Linked DNA regions of Rattus norvegicus. The protein of the gene in region 2 purifies or fractionates together with the protein of the main gene of each other region. This does not show direct contact. Links are inferred from orthologs where the notes say so. Each region holds a gene or a part of one and is shown on either strand. Other genes may lie near its edges.

Region 1 (10,394 bases), on a different chromosome or scaffold from region 2:
AGTGCTCTAAGGAGGGAGAGGTCCGTCATGTCTACTCTGACTGTAGGCCATGTAATCAAGCTCTTAGCTGAGTGTGGTGGTGAGAGACAGAGGTAAGAGAATATATTAGACTCGGGAGTTTGAGGGTAACCTGTATGTGCACATATGCATGTATGAGTGTGTGCATGCGTGTGCATGTGTGTGTTTGTGCTTGTGTGCGTGTGTGTGCATGTGTATGTGCGTGTGTGTGTGCGCGCGCAAGTTCACGTGTGTACAAGCATATTCTGTCAGTGTCCAGACTTAGTTCTTTCCTTTCAGCACGGTGCTGGAATCAAGCTAAGGCAGTCAGTCTTCACAGCAAGCACCCACTGAGTTATCATCCTGGCCCACCCTCGTAGAATACTTCATTCATGCTAGATAAAAGCCCTTCAGCAGATAATTCAACTTGAAATATGTTCTCCTATTCTGTGGCTTTGATTCTCATTTTTTTTAAGGATATGTTCTCTCTAGAGCCAGGTTCTCAACCTTCCTAATGCTGAGACCCTTTAAATAAGTTCCTCACGTTGTGGTGACCCAAACCATAAAATTATTGTTGTTGCTACTTCATAGCTGTAATTTTGCTACTGTTATAAATCGTAATGTAAATATCAGATATGCAGGATATCGGACATGTAGGATATCCGATGTGCAACCCCTGTGAAAGGGTCATTCAACCCCCAAGAGGGTCACGACCCACAGGTTGAAAAGCACTGCTCTAGATTATAATTTTTCAAATTGTTTTTGGAAGTCTGGTTGTTGGGTTTCTGTAAATCTTAACTTTGACCTCACATCTAAGGATTTTTCCCTAACTCCCCTAACTCGAGGCTTTGAATATTTGCTCCTGTTTATACTTAAGTAAATGATCTACTGTGACTTAATGTTTATGTATGGTATGCAAATAAGGGTATAAATGACCTGTTTTAATATGGGTATTCAGATGGCTTAGTAAAGTTTACTTTAAAGACTGCCCTTGCCCTGTGGAATTTTAGGCCTCTGTGGAGAATCAGCTTTCCAGAATTGTGACAGTTCACTTGAAGGCTGCTAACTGGGTTCTGTTGGTCCTCATGTCTGTTTATGCCAGCAGTAAAATTCCTTAAAGTAATTGGATGTCATCGTTTTATTGAAAGATTGATGTGGAGCCTTATAAGATAAATGTTAACATTTCCTTTTAATTATTAGAAGTGATCTGAACTTAAAATTGTTGGGTTTTTGTTTTTTTGGTTTTTTTCTTTTCCTTATTTAGAATGCTTAATAGAACTTGAACCAGTTCTGAGAACATTTGAAGACATAACTTTTCTTGAAGCTGTTATTCAGCTAAAAAAATCAAAGGTAAATCTCCCTTTGAAACTTTGTAACTTAGAACTTTACAAAACTGAATGTCACTCCTGAAGTTTTAAATTAATTTCCCAGAAACAGGCTAGAATTGGGGGTTGGAGTTGGGAGAATTTACAAGGGTCAAGATTGTCACCAGTGGGCATTTCCATTTCTCTCAAATGGGCCACCTTCAGATTTAACAGTTTCAGAGTCTGCAGCATATCAGATGTGGACTTAGGATCTCTGCTAAGGGTCCTGTGCACAGCAAACGCCCTGTGTCACTCACAGCCGCGCATATGATAAGTGTTGTCTGTGTTTCCTTCTGTAAGTGCTAACACCTGCAGACTTAGTTCTAGCTCTTCTTTCAAGTACTTGGGATTTTTTTTGGGGGGGGGTTGTTTTGTTATGGTTGGTTGGGTTATTTTTGTTTTGTTTTGTTTTGAGATTTATCACCAAGTAAAACAGTCACATTTATGTTATATTTGATCCCCCAAAGTGTACTTTTATTCCTCGGCTTTTATTTTGTTTTCTCGCTCAAATACTTCACACTGCATAAACCAAACTGTCAGAAAAGTTAATGTAAACTACCTGGGACAGTTGTCTGATCAGTGTAGCTCTTGTGGATCAGAACAACTGAGGATTTATAAAGCATTTGTAGCTCCTTTAAGCAAAGTGAGCGTAGGCTAGCACTTGCTGGGTTTCATTCATTTGCACTGTGTATATGATAATCAGATTGCCAACTAGCCCAACTCTTGACTGATTAACAAGCATGATCTACTGTTTCTTTATTGACTGTGACAGTGTTTGCCTTCCCCTCTGATTTTGCTGGACCTACTAGCGCATGACCTTTCATTTAAAGATTAGTTTGTAAAAGAAACAGCCACTCATAATCAAAATAAAGACTTACTATAGCAATATTAATATCTAACTTTTCAATTTGACTCCATTGATGAACATGTCTTTTTTTTTTTTTTGCAAATACCATGGCGAGTATCCAAGTTTTAGAGGAACTAAATATGAACTCTGTATTCTTTTTCTAACATCTCCAACTCACCAATTTCTGAGTAGGGTTCAGACTTCTCCAGAGATACCAATGTCTGTTGTTAATGTCTGTCTTGTCTTTTCTTTTCTTCTCCTATTTTCTCCTTACAAATTTATCTTTTTCTCATCTTTCTCTAAGCGAAACTAGATGAGTAGGGACCTGGTGGTACCGTCCTGTAATCCCATCTACTTGGGTAGGCTAAGAGGAGGATTGCAGACTCAAGGTGTGCCTGGGCTACAGTGTGAGCTCAAGGCCAGCATGGGTAAGTTAGCTAGACCTGTCTCAAAATTAAAAATAAAAAGAGGGAGGGAACCTCGGGGTAGAGTTCAGTGGCAGAGCATTAAACAAAAAAGAAACAGACAAAGAAGGAAACACAGAGGCCTACTGTCTTGGCTGTGACGATAAAGCAAACTGTCCCACACCCCTTTTCTGTCTTCAAACACTTCAAGCACTCACATACTATATGTAAGGCTTGATGTTTAAAAGTTGTATCTTCTTAAGTAAAGTATATGTTTTCAGATAATTTAGTAATCACATGGTGGATTTATCATTGTTTTCATGTCACAGTGTTATTTTACATAAAGTTACAGTTGGGGAGGGTGAAGTCCTAGCTTCTTTAGATGGGATTATTGCACTATAGAAACGTTAGCCACACAACAGCCCAGACAGCGGGGTAGGGAGTTAGAGGCCAAGCATGGTGGTGCTTCTCATCCCAGCTGCTCTACAGGTACAGGCTGAGGAACTGAATTTGAAGCCAGGCCAGCCTGACAAACATAAACAGTATAATGAGACTCTGTCCTACACAAACACACGTCTAGAATGGCTTGTTTTACTTAGATTTTCTATATTTTAAGTTCTTTTAAAATTCTAGTTCTTACTATTTGGGTTTGTCCATGTTAAGTGTTTCCTATATCTTAAAAAAGAAAATAAAAAGTGAACCAAAAAATTTTTCTTTTATACTTTCTTATATTTTTCCTCTGGTCCATGAACAATTTGAATTATCTTAGCTCATTAGTTTGTTTTTTTTTTTAAAAAAAAAAGGATATTGCTTATAAAGAACTGTATTAGAAATGTTTCAGTAAAAGTCAGGAAAACTTTACATAACAGACATAGCCAAAAGCTAATTTAAAGATGCATATAGAATTTTACATGTGGTGTGGTGGTGCATGTCCTTAACCCCAGAGTCAGATGGCAAAGGCAAGTGGATCTCTGTACGTTCAGGAGGAAGATCCAGCTCCTCAGGGGTCACATAGTCTCGACCCGCACAGAGACGCTTGCTGAATGACAGCGTACCGAATAATAAACTAGATCACTGTGTATGCAGGCGGCTACGAGTCTTTTCCTCCCGCTGCAGCAGGAAGTTGTAGTGAGACGTGGAGAGCTTGGTGCAGAACCCCATGTAGAGGGGAAAAGTAAACTTAGCTATGTGTGGTACTTTTCACCTGTAATAACAGGATTCCGAAGCAGAGGCAGGTGGATTGTTGTGAGTTTTGGGGCCAGCATGGTCTAGGTAGTAAAATCCAGGCCAGCCTGACCCTAACTACAGAGTGAGATTCTGTGTGAAATGGAGTTGAGGCAGGGAGTAGACTTCCAGATTTGTTTTTAAATGACTTAGTAGTGATGACAGCTTGTCTAAGTCTAGATTATGGAGTCAAATTTAAATCACTTAAGTATAAAACTACTGCATTTAAGGAAGCAAATCACCTATATAGCACCTACCTTCCATTGAATACCTGCAAGTAATCTTAGGGCCCTTTTGCATGTATCACTTCTAATTCTCCTTATAGTAACCCTACTAAATGAGTATCCTTATCTTTAACATATAAATAGGAAAATTAATGTTAAGTTGCATCCCCTGGCCCTTGCACATGCAAGCAACCCTAATTAAACTCAGTACAATGATAGATAGATAGATAGATAGATAGATAGATAGATAGATAGATAGATAGATAGATAGATGTTATATATAGATAGAGATTTTTTAACTTTTTAATAAAAGTAGGACAGAGGGCAAGATGAGAAGTAGAGTTTCAAAGGGTGTAGGAGGGACATAAGAAGAAAATGGACTGATGACTGTGACCAATATACATAATAGATATGTAAGGGTCAGTTAGTGACACATCATGGGCTCTAGACTTGACCATGACATAAACACGAGTGCACACACACACACACACACACATGTATGAGTGCACATACACACACCATACCATGGTAAGACACTACCACCTATACATCAACCCAACCTTGGTTTCTTTTAAGTACAGTAAAAATAGTAATAGAATTTAGAGTATAGTCTATGAAATACAGTTTTGTATAGTAACAATCATGGATAGATAGAGCACACAGCAAAATTGAATGCCTGGCTGGAACCAAATTCTTTATTATCTCAATCTTTAAATAGTCCTGTTTGTAATTATTAAAGATGAAGCCGTAACATCTTAAAATAATATTTATTAGATCAAATAATGAATATGTGGCAGGATGCAAAGTCTGTTCCCTAGGCATTTCTTATTCTGTACTGTCTCTAATTAAGTTATATATTCCCAAATGATGTAGATTTTGTTTCCACTGATTTTTCTGTAAACACAAAACATGTGTATGTTTGTTCCAGATACAGAGTGCATCGAGTACAATTCACTTATGTGATAAGAAAATGGATTTATCACTGAACATACCTGCAAGCCATCCTCCACAGGAGGTACAAATATACCTGTTATACTAAACTTGAATATGAGAGGAACATTAAAACTCTTTTAGTCAAACATCTCTTATATAGATGGAAAACTAAAGTCCAGGAAGCATTAGCTAAGTAGTCATGACAGTCTCTAAGCTGAAATCTCACTCTTTGGATGATGCTCTAGGGCCGTGTATGGGTAAGTCATCAGTGATAATTTCACCACCGTTTTATACCACCCTTCTACCTCTTACAATAAATATTAAGTTTCTGCTGCTTTCCAAGAGCTATTTCTTTAATTGGTCATTTTTACGAATCATTTAAAGATTATATATCTATTTTACAGGTTCATAAGAGTAACAGTACATTCAAAAGAGCACTAAAGCATACCACATAGTTGTGTTTTTTTTTTACACTTGTGTATACAGCATGAGTACATGTGGATGTTTGCGTGTGTGTTAAAGGCTAACTTGCAGAAATCCATTCTCTCCTTTACTATGTGGTTCTCAAGGATCAAATTCAGGTTATCCACTTGGCTACCCACCGAAACACCACACTGACCCACAGTACATAACTTCAAAATCACTTTTATATAAAGCATCTGGTTTGATCATTGAATAATATGCTAATTTTTGATGAAGCATTAAAGCCAGAGAGTTTCAGTGAATTTTCGCAGGGCAGTAAGCAATCGGTGACAGAGCTAAGAGGGGAAATCTCCATAGTTTCTCCAAGCATTTCTCTGTGCCTTCAGGTTGAAGGAGCTGAGAATAAGCCTTTGCTCTAAATCAGTAGGTAACCACATGTTTCTCACTCATCATTATAGCCACTGAACAGGTCCTCTGAATCTGATGGCTTATAGTTATTTCCAGTATTGCCCCATCCCTTCCATTTGAGTTGATAAAGAAATTAAATTTAGAGATTAAGGATATAGCTCACCTGGCAAGTCTGGGGCTCTAGGTTCAATCCCTAGTAGAGAAGAGGGTGAAAAAGAAATTATATTCACTTGTGATGCTTTTATACCTTATTTCTTTGGCTCTGTAAACTATAATTTATAATAGCTCCGGTTTTCAATATTTGATAAGCAAGAATCTAGAAACTATAGCCATGTAATTTTAAAGATGATGCCTTTCTACAAAGCTTTACGTATATGACTCCCCTCAACCTGTTGACCCTCGGTTTACTTTAGGAATCATGTGGATCCTCTCTGCTCTCTAGAAACGCTGGTTCTCCTGGAACCTCCAGGTCTCTGTCAGCTCCTCAAGACAAAGGTTTTTTCCATGGTATGTCCATTTTTCAGTCAGCATGCTTACATAGCCTTTGCACCTTCTTTCAAATTATACCCTTGGCAGACAGATGTTGTGCATGAAACACATTTCTTATTTGCATTCATGCTCCATTTTTTTTAAAGTGACAAGTTGCATATGTAAAGGTAGGAGTGGCATGATGAACAAATATGTTTATATTAAAGGCATTCTGGGATCATGATGGAAAGGTTGTTTTTCTTAATTTCATAAGAAAAAAGAGAAGTGTTTCAAAGTTACCATAGTAACTATATTTTAAGAGGGATATAAATATATAGATATATAGATACAACTACAGGAAACAAGACACATTCTTAAGGAAGTATTTTTAATAGCTGTGTGAGGGAGCTAGTCTTAGACCTTGTTTATAGATTACGAACTCTCTCTGGATCACATAGCACATAGCTAGAAGATCCAAGATGAGTAAAGCCAGGCTCTTTGACGAATACTTTCATGTCACTCTACTGTATTATTCCATCATGAAGACCTTATTTCTGGCTAAAGGCTGACCTCAACTTACGACAGATAGGTATTCCGTAAAAAGAACAATATGGAGTCCAGAAGCAAGGAACAGTCAGTGTGTAATTTAGTTTGTCTTATACATAGAGTGAAAAAGAAGAGATAAAAAATGAAGGAGGATTACAGTGGTATCAGCAAGAATTCCTTGAGCCTGGAGAGATGGCTCAGGATAAAGAGTGCTTACTGCTTTTCCAGAGCACTCAGGCTCAATTCCCACCACCCACACAACATCTCAGAACTGTCACAGCTCCAGTTCCAAAGAATCTGCCACCCTATTCTGGCCTCCATAGACACTAAGTATTCACAGTGCATAGGCATAAATGCAGAACAAAACTCTTACACATACATATATATTTTTAATTTTAAAAAATTAATTAAAATAGAAAAGAATTCCTAAGTGACTGTCAAAAGAAGGGTATCAGATATAAATTTTTGCTTTAGGAAGGCTCATCCTGGTTGAAATTTGAAAAAAAAAATATTGTTTGGGAGTTGAGGGTAGATGTGGCTAGGGCATCACAAAGAGAGCCACACATGCCACGGTGCACATGTAGAGGTCAGAAGTCATCTTTTGAGAGTCACTTACCCCTTTCCACTGTGGATTGTGGGAATCAAATCGAGGTGAAGTTAAGTGTATTGACCCACCGAGCCACCATGATGGCTCTGCAGAAGCCACTTGAAGGGAAGAGGAGACTTGGAATAAGGACAATTAAAAGGGATAACAGGGAAGGCAGTGAGAGAGATTAGGACGACTCCCTGATACCTTATGACTGCTCACCTGAGCTGAGGGAGAAGGCCATGAAGCTAAATACTACATTGTTAAACTGTGAAAACACACAGCTCTTAGAACTAACAACTGGGGGTAGGGGTTGGGGATTTAGCTCAGTAGGCCCTGGGTTTGGTCCTCAGCTCCAGAAAAAAAAAAAGAAACTAACAACTGAAATGGGGTTCAGTTAAATGGATGGTGATTATGATTTACATTTTTTTTATGTTTTGTTTGTTTTGTTTAGTGCGTATTGGGGAGATGTGCAGTGAGCCTCTGAGAATGTTGAATGTGTTCAGTAGTGACAGAAAGATAATTACAGAAACAGGATAAACAGTTGGAACCCTGAAATTGTTTTCTAGAGGGGAAAGCGGAAAACACATGTCAAATATAGACTTATAGCACTTAAAAGTCCGGGTATCTGACAGACAGACATAAGACACATGTAAAGTGGAAAGGGGGAGTTCACAGGGAAGAAGGTTGAGATTGTGAGAACATCGGAAACTTCCTGATTTATAGTAAACATAGACCAGGCAAGTACTAACAGTAGTTAAAAACAAAAACTAGTCAGTATGAAGGTTTATTCCTCTAAAAAGTGTTGGCAGGGCCAGCTAGATGATTCTATGGGTAAAGGTACTTCTTAACAAGCCGGCAACCTGAATTTGATCATCTAAATTCACATAGTAGAAAGAGAGCTGAATCCTACATGTTGACCTCTGACCTTCACACACACACACACACACACACATGCACATATGCACATGCAAATATTCCAGGTATTTTCAGAATTGGATTTCTGAAGTAGCTTCAGTGACACTGCAAAACCAAAGCCGTTAGAGCCTACCTTCTATGTAACCCAGCCGTTGGTATTTTATCTAATGAAAGCTCTTCCTGTGATGAACTGTTCTGTAGGAGGACCTCAAGACTGTTCTTCGTCGAAGGCGTACCATTGTCCTGGAAATCACAGCTGGGATGGTATCATTTCTGTGTCACAAGAGGCAGCCTTCTGTGATCGCAGAGCCAGCTCGTGCTCCTTGACTGTGATAAGGCCACTGTTGGTTGAGAAAAGTTCAGGTGAGTGTATGCTGTGAGTTACACTGCAAATGCTGGTGTTTTCCTTACAAGTACCCGAAGCATTGATTCACTGTACAGTAAGTTTTCTTAGTTTTCATCCCATGCCTCATTTAATATTTGTTTAAGTAGGAAAGCATTTCCAAACTGAGTGCTGACCACATGCATTCTAGGAATCTCTAACCTAGAAGGAAGTGTAAGAGGAAGCCTTACTTTCACTGTTAGATAGGCAGGTACCCTTAATATTTGAACAAAACAAAAATTAAAGTCATTGTGCTCTACGACATAACATGTAAAAACATAATATTCTTTCTGGAAGGGGAATGGGGAGCTACAACTCAAGTCTCTGGTAGTTCCTGGATAATGGAAGAATGTTCAAAAAATACTCTTCACACCTTACTCACTCACGCAGAATCATACTCGTTGCCTGTGTCTGTCCTCGGCCCTGTAATTCTCATGCGCTGCTTTCTTGCAGAGCGCCCACAACCCGGGATAGCACAACAGTGGATCCAGAGTAAGAGGGAAGCCATTGTGAGCCAGATGACTGAAGCCTGCCTGAACCAATCCCTGGACGCCCTTCTGTCTCGGGACCTGATCATGAAGGAGGACTATGAACTCATTAGCACCAAACCTACAAGGACCGCAAAAGTCAGACAGCTGCTAGATACCTCTGACATCCAAGGAGAAGAGTTTGCCAGAGTTATAGTACAGAAGTTGAAAGACAACAAGCAGATGGGGCTTCAGCCTTACCCGGAAGTACTTTTGGTTTCCAGAACACCATCTTCAAATGTCCTTCAAAATAAAACCTTATAAGGGGGCCTTCTTTGAGGGGAAAGTCGGTTTACAAATGATTATTTATATTTCTGTTACCTGTATAATATTTGTATAAAAACATGAGAGTATTAGATGCTTCAGTGAAGGTTTTTGGAAGAGTCTCTTCCCATGACGTTGCAGTATTTTTTTTTAAATTAATATAAGTAAAAAGTTTGCATTATGCTGTGTAGTTCAGTTTTTATGTCAGCTTCACTACTTGAACTTTTTTTTAATGTGATAATCACATTTTTCTTATATGTAACAAGCCTTCGTTTCTGATGGAAGACATTTTCCCACTCACCTGACCTGTGGATTCCTCATTATTCCTCTAAAGTGCGGTTTGACATTACATAGCAGTGATATGGTGTTGCCCCTCTGCAACCCCAAGTTCAGATCTCCAGAGAGTTACTCATTTTTAAATTTGATTTACAAATTCTTTAGAAGGTGGTTTCAAGGAATACAAAGTGTATAAAGAAGAAAAAAAAGAGAGAGAGAGAGAATCTTTTACTAACACTGGCCGTCCGTGTACCTCTGCTTGACCTTTGCCTCCTGTCTTTCTCCAGAGCAAGCAGCCCATTGTGTATCCTGCTGCAGCCTGCTTCCGGCTCCTATTTTAAGAATATGCTGGTTGGGTAGAGGCCGGCCTTTGCTTCGCTATTTCCTTTGTAACACACCATGGTTTTTGAACTGAAGGGTACATCCGGTGTCTCCCCCAGCTCACCTAACTAACTCCGTTCAATTACCGCACAGCGGCCATGCCTCTCTGTGTTTGCTTTTCCAAGCGTGTTCTCAACTTCACGACAAACAATAAAAAGGCAATACAGTGTGCGTTCCTTTTATCTTTTGGTTCTTAGCTTATGTCGGTAAAGGTAACCTTTT
Region 2 (10,394 bases):
GGAACAACAAATTTCAGCATATTATGGACTAAAAGAAATTTTGACAGGCTTAAGAAAGAGATAGAAAATCGTCTTTGAAGTCTCAGTGGCAGCCCTAAACAGGGAAGATAATGGAGTAATGCCATGAAAATTCTAAAGGGAAATGATGGCCAGAATGTATATTAATTTACTAATTTGATTGTTTGCAGTGTTGGGAATAAAACTCAGGGTGCCACACATGCTAGCTCTTACTACTCAGGTATGACTTCAGAGCTCTTTACTTTGAGACATGGTCTTACCAAACTGACCAGACTATTCTTAAACCCACTCACTCCGTAGTACACATAGGCCTTACATTTTCTATATGCCTGCTTAGCCTTCCAGGAAGCTGGGCTTACAGGTGGGCCACTAGGATTTTATACCCAATCAAACTGCCAATCAACTATGAGGGAAGCTTTAAACACTCCGAAAATTCAATTCCTAAATTGTCTATTTAAAAAAATAGAATATTTGGAGAGGATAGATGGTCTACCCAAATGGAGTAAACCAGCCTATGTCACGGGAGGACAATGGTGTCATCCATAGAACTACTTACCCTTGACCTAGTCCTCACAGTCAGAATCAGACTTAAAGCAGACTGGGCTGCATGCTCCACTTCCCCAAACTACATTCCCAGTGACATTCTGCCCATTTGTTCACCCCAGCTCCGCCAGATGCTCCAGCTTGAACAAGCCCAGGATTTCCCTAGACTCATCAATGACATTGGCCTACTAGAAGGTCCCAAAACAGACTCCCAAGGAAGGAGAAGCTAGACACATCCCTAGTCCTGGGAGTTTCCATCTAAGAAGAAAAGGTAATATTTCTGTTTCCTGACACAATTATGTTTAGCTTGCTTCTTCTTCTTCTTCTTCTTCTTCTTCTTCTTCTTCTTCTTCTTCTTCTTCTTCTTCTTCTTCTTCTTCTTCTTCTTCTTCTTCTTCTTCTTCTTCTCCTTCTTCTCCTTCTTCTCCTTCTTCTCCTTCTTCTCCTCCTCTTCTTCCTCTTCTTCCCCCTCCTCCTCTTCCTCCTCCTCCTTCTCCTTCTTCCTTTTCTTTTTAATTAAATACACTTTTTGGAAATTTCTTGCAAAAGACACAAAACCATAAACGAAGGCAAAGGAATGATGAACAGACAAGTTAGATCACTGGTTGCCTCTACTGGTTAGACCTAAAGGATAGGGTATCAATAAGGCAGTTTCTTCATCTGGATATGGGGAAGTTTTTACTCTAGACATAGGAAGTTTATACACTATTTTGTAGGCGTGGTACTTTTCCCAATATAAAACTGTCATAGTTGGCTCTATGAGAGAAGCAAGCAAGTCAGAGCTTACACTGATACCTCAGCCCCATGGGCTTTAGCATCTGCATGAGTCACACGGACAGCTGGCATCACAGTTGGTGTTACCAGCCTGAGGTTTCCCAACAACTGTTATCCCCAACTGAGCAAAGCTACGCAAAGCTCTCACATCTTATGACACAAAGGGAAGTAAGTGTACACTCCTTGGAAAGAAACAGACCGAAATCCAGTTCCTAGCTAGCCCTTCTCAAACAGGCAATATGTTCTTCATTTTCAACAAACACGCCCTTCACCGCTGGAAGAATGTAGCAGGGTTTAACTGTGCCACTGGAGAGCAAGCTGGTCCACAGCCAAGTGTGCACCCTCCCTGTAATGCTCAGAAATGGGGATAAAGGGGGCTCTTTAACCCAACTTCTGCTTCCTTCCACACTTTCAGTTCCCAACCTTCAACCAATGAGAGCCACCTCTATCAAGAAATTAAAAGGTCAAATACTAGAGACATTGTCAGCTGGAGATACCATAAATGCCACCTACACGGAGTCAGAAATTGAGTCACTGAGGGAAAGAAAGCCACAGATCCCAGGATGCCAGAGCTGAGGAGCTAAGACAAAGCAGGTTCTAATCACTTTACTTCAAGCCGTGGGGCCCCTCTGTCACCTCTAAATCCTCAGAGGTGCTATCCACTGTCCCTTCCCTCAGCTCACTCCTTCATCTTCAGTGTTGGCTTTTGCTGTCTACTTGGCCTTCTGTCCGCCTGTCCTTCCTACCTTCCTTTCTTTTCTTTCGACACAGGCTTTAACATGTAGTCTTAGCTGGCCTGAAACCCACTGAGTCCTATGTTAAAGGCATCTGGCCACACTTCATTCTTTCTTGACATAAGAGTCTTTGCCCATTCAGCCTCTCTTCTTTCCAATAGGTCATAGCCCCCTCGGTCCTGCTGCAGCCAACAGACCTCGATTAGATCTTTCTTTCTGGCTAGCCACTGGTTGCTTCTTTGGCCTGTAGGTTATCCCATTTTCTTTTCTTGGACAGTCTAGATACTTTGGGTATTAACGCTCCCATGGGGGATAAGCATCTGGCTTCCTTCCTCAGATCCTTGGAGAATCCTCCCTGGATTCACTGCTGAGCACTACATCAAAGGTGATGAATTACGGTCTCACTTGGGTAGGTGAGCTGGTCCTATCCCCACAACCGATCACAGGAAGCACTGAGGATTTATTAATATGTGCTTTTGAATGCCAATGGAATAGAAGGTACACAGGGTCACACCTTCAGGCCCTGTGTGCAGGAATAAGAAGGCTAAGTCGTGCGTGTTCTGTGAAGACTTACCCGCCTCAAGCTGAACCCAGAGATGCTCATTGCATCTGCCCCAGGGGAATTTCCCCAAGCTCACCCCAAGGTCAACTCACCCATCCTCACGCTGACACGTAGTTCTAACAACTCATTTATTTCATCACCAAGTACTGACCAGACGCCTATCACATGTAAAGCTCTCAACACAGCAAGCTTCTGCACAGAATCAGGCATACGGTAAGCCTCATAGACTGTGGATTGATGGATGGATGGATGGATGGATGGATGGATGGATGGATGGATGGATGGATGGGTCAAGGCTAAAGCCTGCTGATTTCCCAGAACTGTAAAGTAGAATGTTACCATTTTCCATGTTCCACAGACAGCCTGAGGACCATTATTTACAGGAAAATAGAAGTTTCAGAGCTACCCAGGGATACTTTTCTGTCAGTGTGGTTTCTGTTGAATCATTGCATTTCAGGGACTAGTTCTAATGCTATTTCAATCTAAAATCCTAGGTGGGTGTTTAAACTATATTGGCACACAGTAGGCTACACGATTAAGTTCAGATTTAACGTAATGCAGAATTATTCTCCATCGATCTGTTGATGCGAAAGTCTGCAAGTACAGAGGGCCACTCAAACAGAAATGACAGCAGCCAGGGGCGGGTGGTGATGCCAGACACATCTCTAATTGGTATATGGGTGCTCAGGGAGCTCTCCCCCAAACCTGAGCATTGGAGGTGAGCAGTACCCTGCAGAGGAGGAAAGTGAGATGGGAGAAATGAAGGGCAGAGGTTAAGGCTGGGGTAGAACAAGAAGCCTCAGAAACAAACAAGAAAAAGAAGAAAGAAAAAGGAACAGATGGAGAGCTTAGGATGTGTTGTGGGATGTTCAGAAGCATCCAGTCATGCCGAATGCCGAACGCCGAACTGGCCTCGAACTGCATCATTCTGGCTACCGAGGCCAAGCCCTTGGCTGCCGCAGCAACTCTGACCTGCCTGGCCAACTGCGTGCGGGAAATCCCACCAACGGCGTTATTCCGTGGGACTGACTCTACAAGAGTCACAGTCTTGGTGGCTAAGCATCCTGCTCCTGTGGACTCTGCTGACACACGCCACGGCTTACCCTCTGGGATGATGTGAAGATTGGCAACCTGATCTCCTCACATTCGTACTGGCTCAGAAACCCCTCATCCCTTGCCAGCTCCAATATGGCTTCTACATGGCTGCAGAGCCTCCGTACAATTGCTGGCCGGTGACTCTGCAGGTCTCTGGTGGGATGAAGGGAGTGAACGTCCCAGCACCCTTGCAGTTCAAAGGTGTGACTGTTGGCCTGGGCCTCCTGCACAGCTTCGAAGAGCTTCTGACAGCCCCAAACACCCTTGTTGCAGACTGTGTCCAGCAGACGCCTGGCAGAATGGGAGAGAGGTTGCCCAGGGAGGCTGAGGCCCTCATAGTCCTCCCTGGAGAGCACATCCCAAGACAGCAGCCAGTCTAAGATGCTCTCAAAGCCCTCCAAGGACCCTGAGACCAACAGTGCCACCAGCTGGCTCCTCTGGGCCTGGAAGTCTTCCTGTGAGCACATGTCACAACCTGTAAGAGAGCAGGGAAGGCCACAGGTCAAGAAATGACTTCTCTAGAAGCCAGGCTACGGCTGTAGGGAGCAAACTATGCCAAGTCCAAGTGGGCCAGTTGTAGTCAGGCGCTGTTCCCAAAGTCAGGCCCCAGTATATCAAGAAGCTAGCTGCAGTTTCCATGGGTTTAAAGTATCCAAACATTTAAATCCTCGAGTCTCTGGTCTCCCATACCCTGTCTCGCACCACAAGGCAGAGCTGACAGGAGAAGTCGGCTTCTGAGGATCAGTCCCCTCCTAGGCAGGGTCATGGGCTCTACCAGAGACTACGCTCAGTCATACAACTTTGGAACCACTGGATCTAATAAGTTCACCCTAAGTGTCTTACTGAAAGATTTCCTTTCTCAGTCTCAACTGCGAGAAAGCAGGTGCTGTGTCAGTCCCATCTACAAAGAGGGAAACCAAGGCATGTGGGAGGGAGATTTTGCAGCTAAGAAAGATAGGGCCAGGGTTTGAACCCAAGCAGTGGGACTTCTTGCCTGATGCAAGCCTTTGCCTGTCTCTTTGGTATTCCCATAGGCCTTCAGTCCTGCCTCTGTATATAACTACTTACTGCTCCATGAGTAGAGCTGGGGCTTACTGTAAAGATGCCAATTCCAGCAAAAATGGGATGTCATAGTGCACACAAAGTTGGTTCAGAGCCCACTGGTATGCTACTCATTGGTAGTAACACACACGCGCGCCCACACACACACACACACACACACACACACACACACACACACACACCCCATATCCCTGACCAAAGGCCCTGGCTCCTTCCTATGAATTCAGCAACGAACACTGCACACTGCCCTGCTGCCACAGTCCTCAGGAGCTCGGTGAGGAAGAGACTATCAGAAACTTCAAGCATGGAGATCCCTAAGCAACAGAGAAAAATCTCAGCGGGCCAGTTTGTAATCGCCTCCGGGCTGGGACTGTGCCCAGGGAAAAAGAAAGCGAAAGAGTATTAGGCAAGGAGGAAGCAGAAGAAAGGCTCTGTTTCAAAATCTTGGACATTCTAAGATGTTCGAGGAGACGGGTGGGGGCAGCTGGAAACGGCCTGGGGAGCTCAGGTCTTTGCTGTAAGACCTGCCATCTTCCTCTATGGCAGGCACACTGCAGGCTAGGACTCCTTCACTCTGACACCCCTAAGCTTGCAAAGCAATGAGCTCACTGGAAGCCCTGGGGATGTTAACTCCAAGCCCAGTCAGGGAAGGCTGGGGCTAGAATGCTCTGGGATGATCCACAATCACTAAGTCAACACCACATTGTTAGCATGCAGGCTGGAGGCCTGGGGCTGGCCGGAAGAGGCAGTGAAGCTACCTGAACATCTGACAGCTCGGGAGAGAAGGTATCCCAATCGTGGAGGCCACTGTAAACCAGGAGCTGAGAGTCTTCACTGGCCAAGCAGGTCACCTGAGCCCTGTGCTCAGCCCAAGCAGAGGAGCCAAGGATGGGGAAGAGGCAGACGACAGCAAGGGGCAGCATGAGCTGGGGTCAAGTCGTGGGCTGAGTCTCAACTATGCAAACCTGCCTCGGTCCTGAGAAAAGTAACCACTGGCCCTTCCTACCCAGAGGAAAACAGAGGTGAGGTCAGCACTCTTGCCTGAGGCCTGAGGTGCAGCCAGGGAGTGGTGGAGAATGAAAAGAACTAAGTTTGAATGGCCCACCTCACTTTGCCTAGAGAATGCTGGGTAAGATGCCTACTGCTTCCTCCTTCTACAAAGCACATGAGTCAAAAGCCCAGAGGAGTTGCACAGGCAGTCCCTGATCTGGCCAACCCACCCAAGGGGAAATCCCAAAAACCTGAGCAGGAAGCCTGAGGTGGCAGGCCAGCACACAGAACTTGCTAGTTCGTGGCAGTCCTGGCACAAAACCTGGTACATCTACACTGGCTTTCACTCAAAGACTCTGGTGACATGAGGTGTCTCCAATAAATGTGCTTTCCCAGACGGAAACAGCTGTGAGGGAGCAGAAGCCCTCCGCCCTCCGCAGACATGTTAAGAGCCTATCAGATGGAGCTGGGGATTTAGCTCAGTGGTAGAGCGCTTACCTAGGAAGCGCAAGGCCCTGGGTTCGGTCCCCAGCTCCGAAAAAAAGAACCAAAAAAAAAAAAAAAAAAAAAAAAAAAAGAGCCTATCGGATACTCAAACCATCCACACCCTGACAATGACATCAGCCATGTGGATACAGGTGGGGTGAGGCAGGAAGGCCATGTATGTGGTTTGGTACTCTGTCTTCTACTGCAGTTGGAAATTCCCATCTTGCCAGTGTCTGCAGACACAAGGCACGACATATCCCCAAAGATCAATTCTGCCAGTCCCCTGCCTCTTAGAAGGCCAAGCCCCTATCTCATCCCAAACAGCTGGAAAAGAAGGTCTGGTCTTGGTACTGTCCTCCAGAGCAGCCAGGAAGTTCTCCATTCGTTAGTCCCAGAAACCTGTCCTTGTCCTACCTGGTCAGACTTGCTCTCCCCAGGCTAAACACATTGCTTTGTCACCCTTGTCTTCTCTACCAGGTCACTGCCACCTTGGGGTCACTCTTAGGCTCTGCAAGATGCAACCCAAACAAAGGGGTCACCTCCTTTCTGAAATAAAGGGCCAAAGGTATCTTCAAAGGTTCCTAGTCCCCAAGCCCACCTTTCCTTCTTAGCACTTCCTTCCTGTCCAGGATCATAGGTAGCCTGGTTTTCATGAAGTCCCTAGTTGAGGACTTAGTTTGCAGTGCCACGGGCCTACTGCAGACTGGAGCAGAAGGGAAGCATCCAGGGGAGAGGGAAATGTGACCCTGAACTGTCCCAGCCCTGGCTGGCTAAGCTTTCTCTGGGGCACTAACTAACCCCACTCTCCTGCTCCAACTCTGAATTGCTTCTCAGGGAACCAGTTCCCATCAGAGCACCAACAGACTAATCTATCCTTCCTTTCCATTCTCCCTTGTCCGGACCTGAACTGCCATTCCCAAGTCCACACTCCAACTCCTTCCCCCTCCATGATTTCCAGTTGTTCTGTTCCCCACCTTCCTTTCTGTCATCAAGGGCATTCTTTCACCCTGCTCCCCCTCCTCCCTGGAGCACTCTGCTCACCCTCCTCCCTGGAGCACTGCTGCTCACCCTCCTCCCTGGAGCACTGATGCTCTCCCTCCTCTCTGGAGCACTGCTGCTCCCCCTCCTCCCTGGAGCACTGCTGCTCACCCTCCTCCCTGGAGCACTGATGCTCACCCTCCTCCCTGGAGCACTGATGCTCTCCCTCCTCCCTAGAGCACTGATGCTCCCCCTCCTCCCTGGAACACTGCTGCTCACCCTCCTCCCTGGAGCACTGCTGCTCACCCTCCTCCCTGGAGCACTGCTCCAAAAGTCATGAAGGATTTCTCTGATACTCCACCCCACTTCCCACTCTCCTTCCTTCTAGCCACTCTGTCTCCAAGTGGTTCCTAGTCCTGTCCCCCATCCCCCACCACCACCACCACCACCAAGAACTGAATTACTGACGCTTCTCTGCCCACAGGCCCAATTCCCAACTGTGTGATAACAATGACTGAAATGTTACTGGGAGCTATTCAGCATCGAGTGGTGCGTACCAGCATCTCCAAAAGACAAATACAAAATCAATCACTGGATCTCCTTCCTAACAGCACCCCTCCCAGACGACGGCGGCCCCAAACGCTCAGTCAGGCTTGACTCTGCCTCTCTCCAGTATCACAGACTATACACCCAACCTTCAACAGACTCCAAGTCTAAAAGCCATATACCATGATGTAAGCTCTACAGCACCCTCATAGTTCCCTCATCTGCCATGAATCTCCATCTCTGCCTCACAACTAGATGAACCCCGCCAGACCCTAAGTCAGAGCAGGAGCTGTTCACAGCTCCCACATGGTCAAAGTGAAAGCCAACAGCTTTTATAGAGTGACCTCAAGCCCAATACAAGAGATTTCAGCTGCCACCTCTTTCCTCCTAACCACCCCCCACTCCCCCACCCCATTTCCACCCTGCCGTAGCTCCTGGCCTGCTCCTTACTCTCAGAACAAGGAAGCCTGCTCTGGTCTGTCATGCTCCTGCTTTTCACACACACACACACACACACACACACACACACACACACACACACACAGCTTTCTCTATCCCCCAAGATAGTCACATGACTTGCCTATCACCTCCTTAAGATTTTGTTCAGTAGTGACTGTCTCAGAGGTGCCTTCCTCTGCTATGCAAAACCCTAGTCCCCAAGCCCTGTCCCAGCTTCTTCTCCCCACAGTATTTCCTGTCATCTGAGATGGCAGGTGTTAGCGGGATGTAGTCACCATAACCCTGTGTATCACCCAGGGCACAGATGGGGTCTGCATGAGTTGAGGGTGGGTTTATTCCACCCAGTGTGGGGAGGTAGCTGTGGAACCAGCGAGCAGAGATTGCAAGGCACACACTTTGGCCAAACAGGTATAGAAGCCACTTTGTTAACAATAAGTTCCTGTTCACTGGGCCACTCTGCAATGCTGACCTGGGTGGGAGAGAGGGGGCAAGATGGAGCCAGTGCCAGCTTGGAGCTGCATGTAGAGGCCAACTGGCATCAAGTGGCCAAGAAACCAGGAGCTCCAGTGACCTCACAACAGACTAAGACAGAGCCAATGAAGCTGACTCTTTGGTCTTCTTCACCAAGAGCACAGAGATGGGGATGGGGCTTTTCCCCTCCAGGATAACAACCCTGGGTGAGATCCCAGAAAGCCAATGCCCCCATCCCAGGCCAGGACCTTGCAGGTTCTAAAAAAGACACAGAAGTCAGAGCTTCAGCCAGCTCAGACCTATCCAGAGGCTTGGGAGCTGGCTTGTCCAAAGACAGCACCAAAGGCTTGAAAGAGAGCCAAGCAAAAGGCTGAGCGCTTAGCTGGCATTGGGCACGGAGGTGTGGGTCTGTCCGGGCAGGAATAGGGTTTGATCCCAACTCCCACACTCACAAATGAGTAACGGTAAGCAGGAGGCTGGGGCAAGGATTATGAAGCAGCAGCTGGGGTTAGAGAGTATTTCTGAAGGCTAAAAGAGAAACTGAGGCCTACAGAGAAGGGGGTGGAGGGGGGCAACTGAACCAGGAATAGTTCCTGCTAAGACCCAAAGCAGGCTTTTCTCCCTCTGGGTAAGGACCTCACCTGCAAGTTTCCCTCCAATGTCCCAGCCATCCACAAATCAAAGCCTCCCCTCAGACTTCAAAGGATCCTGGGGGCTTCAATGTGCTTCCTATACCCTCTTCTTTCTCTGTTACCAAAGCTGGCCAAGACTCCCCTCAAGACACCCTTTCCTTTTACAGCCTATCTACTCTGTCAACGCTTCCAGGAGAAACAGAGTCCCTTCCAGAAGCTCAGACATGCCAGTTCCAGAACCAATTAACAAGAGTCCTGAGGATGGGACTTGTGACGGTCGTCACCTCCACAGCAATAAGCGCTGTCCTCCGGGAGTCCTCAAACTTCCCCCAGAAAACCGTCCTTTCCACACATCCACCCACCCTGATCACCCGCAGACCACAGAATCAGAAAGCAGGCACTCACCGCCAGCTGCTGCGCAGAGGTTCCTCAGACAGCCCGGTAGTGACTCCAGGGAGGCATTAGAACTCCCTCAATGATCTCGCCCCGCCCATCGCCCCGCCCATCGCCCCACCCACCCAGTGACCCCGCCCACTCTGGCAGGCTGGGAAGGGCGGCCACACCCCTCCTGATTTCCCTCTAGGTACCAGTGAGACAGGTATCCGGGAATAAGAGGCCTGCCTGCTGTGCTTTATGTCCTGCCCTTGGGGACCCGTTTCAATCCGAAGGGAACCATAGAGTCCTGGGAACAAGCTAGGAAAGCCCTCGGTGTCAGTAGGAACCGACGCACCCTCCCTGGGATCTGTAAGCCCTTAGTCAGCTACAGTTTTAATGGAGACATTCCCAGAAGGCTATGCTGGGTGGTGTTAGGGCATTTAAAGTTCCTCTTTTCCCCTTGGTTGTCAGTCCCATGCAAGCTGAGGAGGGAGGTCAAAGTGTAACAGCATTTGCCTACTAAGTAGCCTCCTAGGCTGGGCTCTGACACATCCTAATTAGAGCTGCTCGAGAGAGTTGTTTAGTTTCCATTACAGTCTCTTGATTTTATAACTTCCCATTCTTAATGTTACTTCTAAAAGTCTTGAGCACGAAGTCTCATTTGAGAGA

The links. The genes of interacting proteins can lie anywhere in the genome.
Region 1: the proteins of Nod2 (region 2) and Ripk2 purify together in Homo sapiens (affinity purification with western blotting; 12 studies listed by BioGRID and IntAct, with this or other methods). This does not show direct contact. The link is inferred for Rattus norvegicus from reciprocal best matches to the Homo sapiens genes NOD2 and RIPK2.

Annotation. Positions count from the first base shown.
Region 1 is NC_086023.1:34,428,522-34,438,915, reverse strand, and holds the end of Ripk2 (receptor-interacting serine/threonine-protein kinase 2), read left to right. Parts: intron 1-1,261; coding exon 1,262-1,347; intron 1,348-2,512; exon of another isoform or gene 2,513-2,636; intron 2,637-4,988; coding exon 4,989-5,075; intron 5,076-6,237; coding exon 6,238-6,331; intron 6,332-8,543; coding exon 8,544-8,705; intron 8,706-9,177; coding exon 9,178-9,515; 3' UTR 9,516-10,343; downstream 10,344-10,394.
Region 2 is NC_086037.1:34,586,442-34,596,835, forward strand, and holds the start of Nod2 (nucleotide-binding oligomerization domain-containing protein 2), read right to left. Parts: upstream 9,802-10,394; 5' UTR 9,756-9,801; intron 4,202-9,755; 5' UTR 4,194-4,201; coding exon 3,735-4,193; intron 1-3,734. UniProt on the Homo sapiens protein: Pattern recognition receptor (PRR) that detects bacterial peptidoglycan fragments and other danger signals and plays an important role in gastrointestinal immunity.